Tribolium castaneum: one gene and its partner. The protein of the gene in region 2 purifies or fractionates together with the protein of the main gene of each other region. This does not show direct contact. Links are inferred from orthologs where the notes say so. Each region holds a gene or a part of one and is shown on either strand. Other genes may lie near its edges.

Region 1 (3,600 bases), on a different chromosome or scaffold from region 2:
TTAGTGATATTATCGACAGTGTGAGAAATTGGAATGAAACATGACTTTCTTTTAAATTGTTTATTACCAAAAGTTACGCACCGTTTTCACATTTATATACATGTTGGTAACATTAAGAATACTGAATTATTATTATTAATTGATATTAGGTACCGTTAATTTAGGGTATAACATTGTAATATATTAACATTTACACGTCTGTTGCAAACAACAATACACTATTATGTTACATAAAAATCTTTGCTATAGCTGCTGACAATGAACATTTACAATAAATAGAAAAATAAATGAAATGGGGATCTAGAAATGAATTTTGAGTTGGTAAATATAATGGTCAGTCTTTTGAGCGTGTATACTTAGTCTATGAATTTCATAACGCCATAAACAACATTATCTACAGTCTATACACAATATTTACAAGTTTCGCTACGAAACAATTATCACATAAGGAAATACAAACTTATCTAAATATCCCCTTTCCGGTGTACTCACAGCACTGTGGTTACAGAAAACTTAAATTATGTACAACCAGTGTCTTAGGAACGCAGTCTTTGGTAAATTCACACTTAAACATCAGTCCCGCAGCCTTCTTGATACCCTTCATCCGGCGAATTTCTGCTGTGAGTCAGCGCTCTTTTGAGTGCCGTCACCGGAGGTAAAACGGGAACACCTCCCTTCTGCCACACCCTCAGCGTTTTCGCATTCGTGGGCAAAGTTTGTTGTTTGTCAGCGATGGGAAGCCCATAATCAGCCGGATATCCTTGCGCCCTGAACGCCAACTCTTCCAGCGACCCTCCGCCACTCATCCCGTCCATAATGGGCGTCTTATCGTCGTAGAAATTCACCTGACGCGAGTAGTCCGTCTCCCATAATCCCGAGGGATAGAGCGAATCAGCGTTGCGACTGTACTCGCCGCTGGCGGGCCTCTCCAACCCTTCGGGGTCCTCCGACGGTTTGGTGTCGTTGATTAGGTCAGGGTTGTTCCCGGAGGCCGACGAGGGAGACACGAAACAGGAAGCTGGGATCGTGGAGTCGCTCAAACGGGGCGGCTTTTGGACTGGATTGCAGAAATTCAACTCGGTCGGCTTGGTATGCTCGTGAGAGGGTTCCTCCACTTTGGACGTTCCGTTGACCACAGTTACGACTTCAATCTGACCGGAGGTTTTGCTCTCGGAAAAGGGGATGCGGCGGAGGCGGACAAGCAGCACGAAAATGACCAGGAGGATAAAGATTATTAGAATTATGAGAGCGACACTGAGACCGGCGATTTGGCCGCTGCCAAGCGTTGTGATCCCTGCAGCTCGCATCGAGACGTGGAGGGTGAAGTTGGCTTCGGCATTCCCAGCCCTGTTCTCCGCCACACAATAGAATTCACTCGAATTGATCTCTTGGACGTTTGTCAACACTAAAACACTGCGCTTCTCCTGCTTGCCCTCTTCGAAAACGTGGATTCTTTGGTGTGAGCTGAAAGCTGAGTTGTTCAGAAGGGGACGTCCGTTCCAATACCAGTTGATGTTAGCCACTGGGATGGCGTTCGCTCGGCATAAAATCGTCGCGTTTGAGCCGGAAGTCGCCTCAATGTAGCGATTTACGGGGAGGATTTCAGGTTTACAAGCGAAATCATCGATGTGAAGCTCCGTAAACGTCTTATCGATGAGTCTTTCAGGTCCTCCGGAACAAATCGGCGAGATGGGGTAAGGAATATTGTTATTAACGAGCCATTCTTTGACTGCTCGCAACCGACAATCACAATGCCAGGGATTGTCGTGCATTTCAATCCCATGGAGTCTGTTTAGCGTCTCCACAGTCCTCAAACGTAACTCCGAGAGCCGGTTTCCGTTCAACTTGAGTGACTCCAACATTTCAATCCCTTCAAACGCCTTCGAAGCAATAACTTGTATTTCACAATTCGACAAATCGAGTTTAATAAGTCCCGGGATAGTTTTAAAAGCCTGACTGTCTATTTTTTGAATCGGGTTGTACGCAAGTACCAAATCGCGTAAGAACGGTACGTCCCGGAACGTCCCGGACGGAACCGCCGTCAGTAGATTGTGCGACAAGTCCAACTCGATCAAATTCGTCAATCCTCTAAAGGCGAGATCGTCGATTTGCCCGATCCGACAACGTCTTAGAAACACTCTCTGGAGGTTGAGTAGCCCCGACCGAACGAACGTCTCTCTGGGCAGGATCTGCAAATTATTTCCGGACAAATCCAATACTTGCGTCTCCGGATCGACGCTCTCGGGGATGGTGATGAGTCCTCGCTCCGTGCACTCCACTGTTTGCTTGCCCCCTTTCCACTTGCAGGTGCACGGGGACGGGCAGTTGCCCCCTAAGCACGGGGTGAGCACTAGGAGGGTCACCAGCCCCACCACCAACACCATGTTGCACGACGCGCCGACGACTGATTAAGTGGTTAGCCCCACGAAGACTGGTCTTTGCGCGAACATCACGGACGCCGAACGATGACTGAATGAGAGGGCTGTCTACTCCTTCCTCGTTGTCTCGCCTCGGGCCCCGTCACCATCTCGGCGTTGCGCACTGGTTCACAAGTAACCACCGCATCAACGTACTGATTTTTGCTAGGCCCAAACTACATGCTCTCATTAATAACGTCTTCTACAACTATTTTTGCCTACACCCCACCAGAATGAATGGATCGGTATTTCGGTACCTGGCGTGAAACGTCCAATTAGAAAGCTTCAAGGTAGAGCTTTGACACCATTCAATACGTTAAGGGATTTTATTCTGTTGTGTCGGCTCTAGCCCAGTCACACTAATTTATTTCTCCGGACACCGAACAGGTCTTTGTTGTGCCGAGGTATTTGGCTATTTAGTCGGCGCAGACAGAGCCGGATTTTAAAAATTTATAACTTCGTAAAACTTGAGCCGAGCGTTTTTCTTCCGAGGGATAAATATGCAACGAACTTGCGGGTTGTTATTTCTCAAGAGAATTACTATTATTATAGATGAGCTATTTTTAGCTTAATTGTATTAGATTATTTCGTGCAGAAAGTTCTTATCTTATAACTGATTATACCTAACTTACCTATATTTAAGATCTTAATGAAAAAAACATTCATTTCACTGTTTTATTAGGCAATATCCTACAAATTATTTTTATGGTCAATAGCTATGTGTGCTTCATAAAGGAATTAATAAATAATCAAAACAAAATTTCCCAACTAAATATTTTCACCCAAACAATCGCTTTATAAACGGTTTATTGGCATGAATGGCTTTTTTCAGTTACAAATGCATTGATACAAAATAATACACATTATTAATTAATTGACAATGTTGTCAGTAAAAACTTTGTTCAACATTTTTTTATTTTCGAGAAAACTGAAATAAAATTACACACTTCTTCCAGCCACAATTGGGTATTGGTTTTGTTTGTGGTGGTGTACGAAATGCAGTGAATAAGGATATCGAGGGGTTTTCTCTAAAAGTTTTGGGCTCATTGTTTGAAAACAGGTTTGTGGGCCAGGCCGGGCCTGCATCATACGCGAAGGTATTTATCTGTGTTTAAAAGGAAACGGAAATCTTCACGGTGGAATGACAACATTGTAAACTTGACGCTATTCTAATGATCAGAAA
Region 2 (3,960 bases):
AGTCGAGAAAATCATCAAAAAATGCTGGTCAATAGACAGACAAAAATAAAGCTTTTACTCCTAACAAAACTTTATTATATTATTTTCTGGTATAATTGAAAAAAAGTGAAGAAAATGTCTTTCAAAATTTAGAGAGATAAATTGGTCACCCATTTGTCTATAGAGGGTGGGTCTTAACTTATACATTAGGAAACTTAGAGAATAATTGTTTTTGCCAAATAATAACAAAAAAAGTGGTAGTAAAGGTTTTTTAGTTACCGGAATATTGTCCAAGAAAAACATTACTAAAATTTTAATTTCTTAGAATAATAACTAGACTATCATAATTATCCCGGTACTACATAGCTACCTCCAAATAATTAAAAAAAAGTTATGCTCAATAACAAGTAAAACGCATTATATATAGATGAAATAAAAATGTTTTCTTCATGTGAATACATAATTCAAAAAATTTAAAAACAATTAAAACAGAAAAAAAAATTAAAAAATTCTTAGAATAATAAGACTATCATAGTTAATACTGGTACTACAGAAAATACCTCCAGAAAATAAAAAAAAAGTTATGATAAACAAAAAGTAAAACGCACTGTATATAGGTGAAATAAATAAAAAGAATAAATAAAAATAAATAATAAAAAATAATAAAATAAATAAATAAATAAATAAAAATAAAAAATAAGAAATAAAAGTTTTTTCTTCATGTGAATACCTAATACGAAAAATTTTAGACCAATTAAAACAGAAAAAACTAAAAAAAACAGAAAAAACAAAAACCTTCAAGTACTAACTGCTCAATGATTTCTAAACAATTTTCACACGTTTCTACTCGTATTCAAGTAACTTTGAACAAGTTTTTGATTTTAGATATTTTTTCCCATAAAAAATAAATTTTTTTTCTAAACTTATTTTCCATTTTCACACGTTTCTGCTGGTATTCAAGTAACTTTGAACAAGTTTCTGATTTTTGATATTTTATCCCACAAAAAATAAGTTTTTTTTCCAAACTTATTTTCCATTTTCACACAATTCTGCTCGTATTCAAGTAACTTTGAACAAGTTTTTGATTTTTGATAGTTTTTCCCACAAAAAATAAGTTTATTTTCCATTTTCACACGTTTCTGCTGGTATTCAAGTAACTTTGAACAAGTTTCTGATTTTTGATATTTTTTCCCACAAAAAATTAGTTTTTTTTCCAAACTTTTTGGATTATTTCCATAAAAAAATTATTCTTTTTCTTATTTTCATTAAGGTCCTTAATGAGCGTAATTCATAACCGATGCCTTAACTTTTTTTTGTTACGATCGAATGTAGAGTTTTAAAGAAATTTAGAAAAAAATCTGATGTAAAAAATTTTGGAAGCGCTTCACAATGTGGCAATTTATAAGGTTGTAGGACAATAAATAACAATTCTATTTTTTTCACATTTATTATGGTCCGTAAAATAATAGATACCGAATTTTCCATGGCAAGATCGTCTTTAAAATGTCCCAAAAGACTGAGTTTTGCATACAGAGTTGAGCAAAAGTATGGAACTTTCATAATTATTTAAAAAAAAACATTGGTGTAAAAATAAAATTTTGATTTTTTTTTATAATAACCCAAAAAAAATTGTACTTTAAACATAACCCCATTTTCAAGTCCTTCATGAGGTACTAAGAGGTTTTTTCGTAAGGTACATAGTTAGGCACAGAATGCTTGGTTCCATACATTTGTCCAACTATAAAAATTAAAGGAAAAACTGACCTGGTACTGGAGAAAAGGAAAGAAAACAGGATCTGGCACAGGAGTGGTGAAATGAAATCGGTAAATCGTCGTTACCAAAAGTTTTTGATTGTCACCATACGAATAATTAGTGTTAAGGCTGTTAATTTTAACAACACAATCACAAACACAAGGAAACATCACAAAAATAAAAAGCACATCACGACCACACAGTCTAGCGTCTCAGTGTCACTATTATGGCGGTCTTTTTATCCAGAGCTGCCAACCTTGTCACACAAAGTTCCTGAGTGAGGGTGCGAATTTCGAATTAGTCATTATTTTTTAATTCACTAGTAATTACAACTGAAAACATATCTGGATGTACCTAATGCAGAAAAAACTAATAGGTAATTCAAGCCTCATTAGAGCCGATTTTTTTCTGATTAAAGCCATAAATTTTGAAATCAAGTTGGCAACATTAACGCAAAAACGGAAAAAAGATAAATAATGTGGCCAACTTAACTTCAAGCCAACGTCCCGAAAAATTAGTTTTAATTGGAGTAATTAAAGCCCTCAAAATTTCACCCTCCACTTGACCTGAATCCGAAATTTTTGAACAAAGAGTGATGGATCGACGTTTCAAAAAAGTGACACTTGAAAGCATCAGTTGGAATGCGGCTCTCCTTTTAAACGGTCCCAAGTGGTCTTGAGACCTCTGTAAGCGATTTCCAAAGAAGCGCGCAATAAACAAACATTATTCCAAAGCAATAAATAAATAAAAAAATTAAAGACAGCTCATCAGAGAGACGCACTCACCTCTAACCCCCATGTCCACATTACACCCTCCAAAGCCAGCCATGGCCAGGATAATCCCCAGGAGAAAAATATCCATTTTGAGAAAAACAAAACCAAAATTCCAGAAAAAAAAAAACACTGCTCACAGCATCACAACACTGCACTAAGTCATCATCCGAGTGTCATGGGAAAAAACAAAATAAGTACGACAACCTGTTGCACAACTCGAAGCAACAACAACACCACCTCTCGACGACTCGATTTCGAATGACAACAATTGAACGTCGCGCTTCTCGAGCCCGGAGCGACCGGAGGCGAAGACGGCCGAAGTGTCACAGGTAGATTAGTGACCTTGTGAGCAACAGGTAAGAGAGAGATGGGGCTATTGTGCTCCTTGCGTAGAAGAATGTTGATCTGTATTATTGTTGGGAAAAGATGAAAAAGCCATGGTAGAGTCGACCAATGGGTGGGTCGAGCTGGGGGTCAGGGGAGATGGTAGCGAGTCCGATGGGTCGATGGGTTTACGTAATGCGGTAGCGCGTCTATCATTCTGGTTTGAGAATTTTTAATTGCGGTGGTGTTGGAGGGATTGCGTTTTTTTTGGATTAATTTGATGGTAGATCAATGAACTTATGAATGAGCTGGGACGAGATGGTCAATGTGGAACTGGAAATTTATTAGCGCAATTAGCGGTTGTTGGAGTTTTTTGAATGGAGACGCGTTGGTTGTGCGTCAGGTGAAGCATAATTTATTGCTACATTGACGGCTTCAAGTTATGACTATTTTGAACGAACCAAAGTTCCATAGGAAAATGACTTTTTTATTTTGGTGGGTTCTTACTGAACAACAGAAAAGTGGCCATAGTTGGAACATATTACACAGACTTGGTCCAAAATATTTCAGTTTTGTCTCACCATTTGGCCGTAGTTTAGAAAAAAAAACTTTCCAACAGTTAAATAATTTATGTGATTTTGACATATTTTTTTCTTTTTTCAGCCTCTTTTTTAAACAAACTTTCTTAACACGCATTTTTCGAGAGCTTTTCTTACAACTCGAAATAAATTGGAACTGAACAAAAAACTGTTGTTTGATTATTTTGGAAATCTCGGCCATATCATCTGAAATTTTTCTGTTTTCTAAGAAAATTTCTAGTTTTCTATTAGACTGGGCTTCAAAAATCGTGGATAAACTGTCGATCGATTTGTCTTTGATACATTCCAATTCGAAAATTGTGTCAAAACTTAAATATTTTGGCAAAAACTCAATTTCATCGCGAGATTCTCTCACAAAACTCAAAAATGTACCAAACTTGATCAAAAATCTTTATATCTTTTTATGATCTTTAAGAAGCAAAAACAAAAAATAGGGTGTTTCATTTAAATTTTTCAAGTTTTTTAACAAACTTGCAATTTTTTAGTTTTTTTCTACATTAAGTTCCTTATGCTTGCTATCGTTAGGAAATAC

What was found.
Region 1: the proteins of Egfr (region 2) and kek1 purify together in Drosophila melanogaster (affinity purification with western blotting; 5 studies listed by BioGRID). This does not show direct contact. The link is inferred for Tribolium castaneum from reciprocal best matches to the Drosophila melanogaster genes Egfr and kek1.

What each region holds. Positions count from the first base shown.
Region 1 is NC_087402.1:10,562,752-10,566,351, forward strand, and holds kek1 (leucine-rich repeat-containing protein 24), read right to left. Parts: upstream 2,559-3,600; 5' UTR 2,385-2,558; coding exon 567-2,384; 3' UTR 46-566; downstream 1-45.
Region 2 is NC_087394.1:3,580,980-3,584,939, reverse strand, and holds the start of Egfr (epidermal growth factor receptor), read right to left. Parts: upstream 2,780-3,960; 5' UTR 2,594-2,779; coding exon of another isoform or gene 2,518-2,593; intron 1-2,517. UniProt on the Drosophila melanogaster protein: Receptor tyrosine kinase, binding ligands of the EGF family and activating several signaling cascades to convert extracellular cues into appropriate cellular responses. Known ligands include spitz, gurken, vein and giant-lens.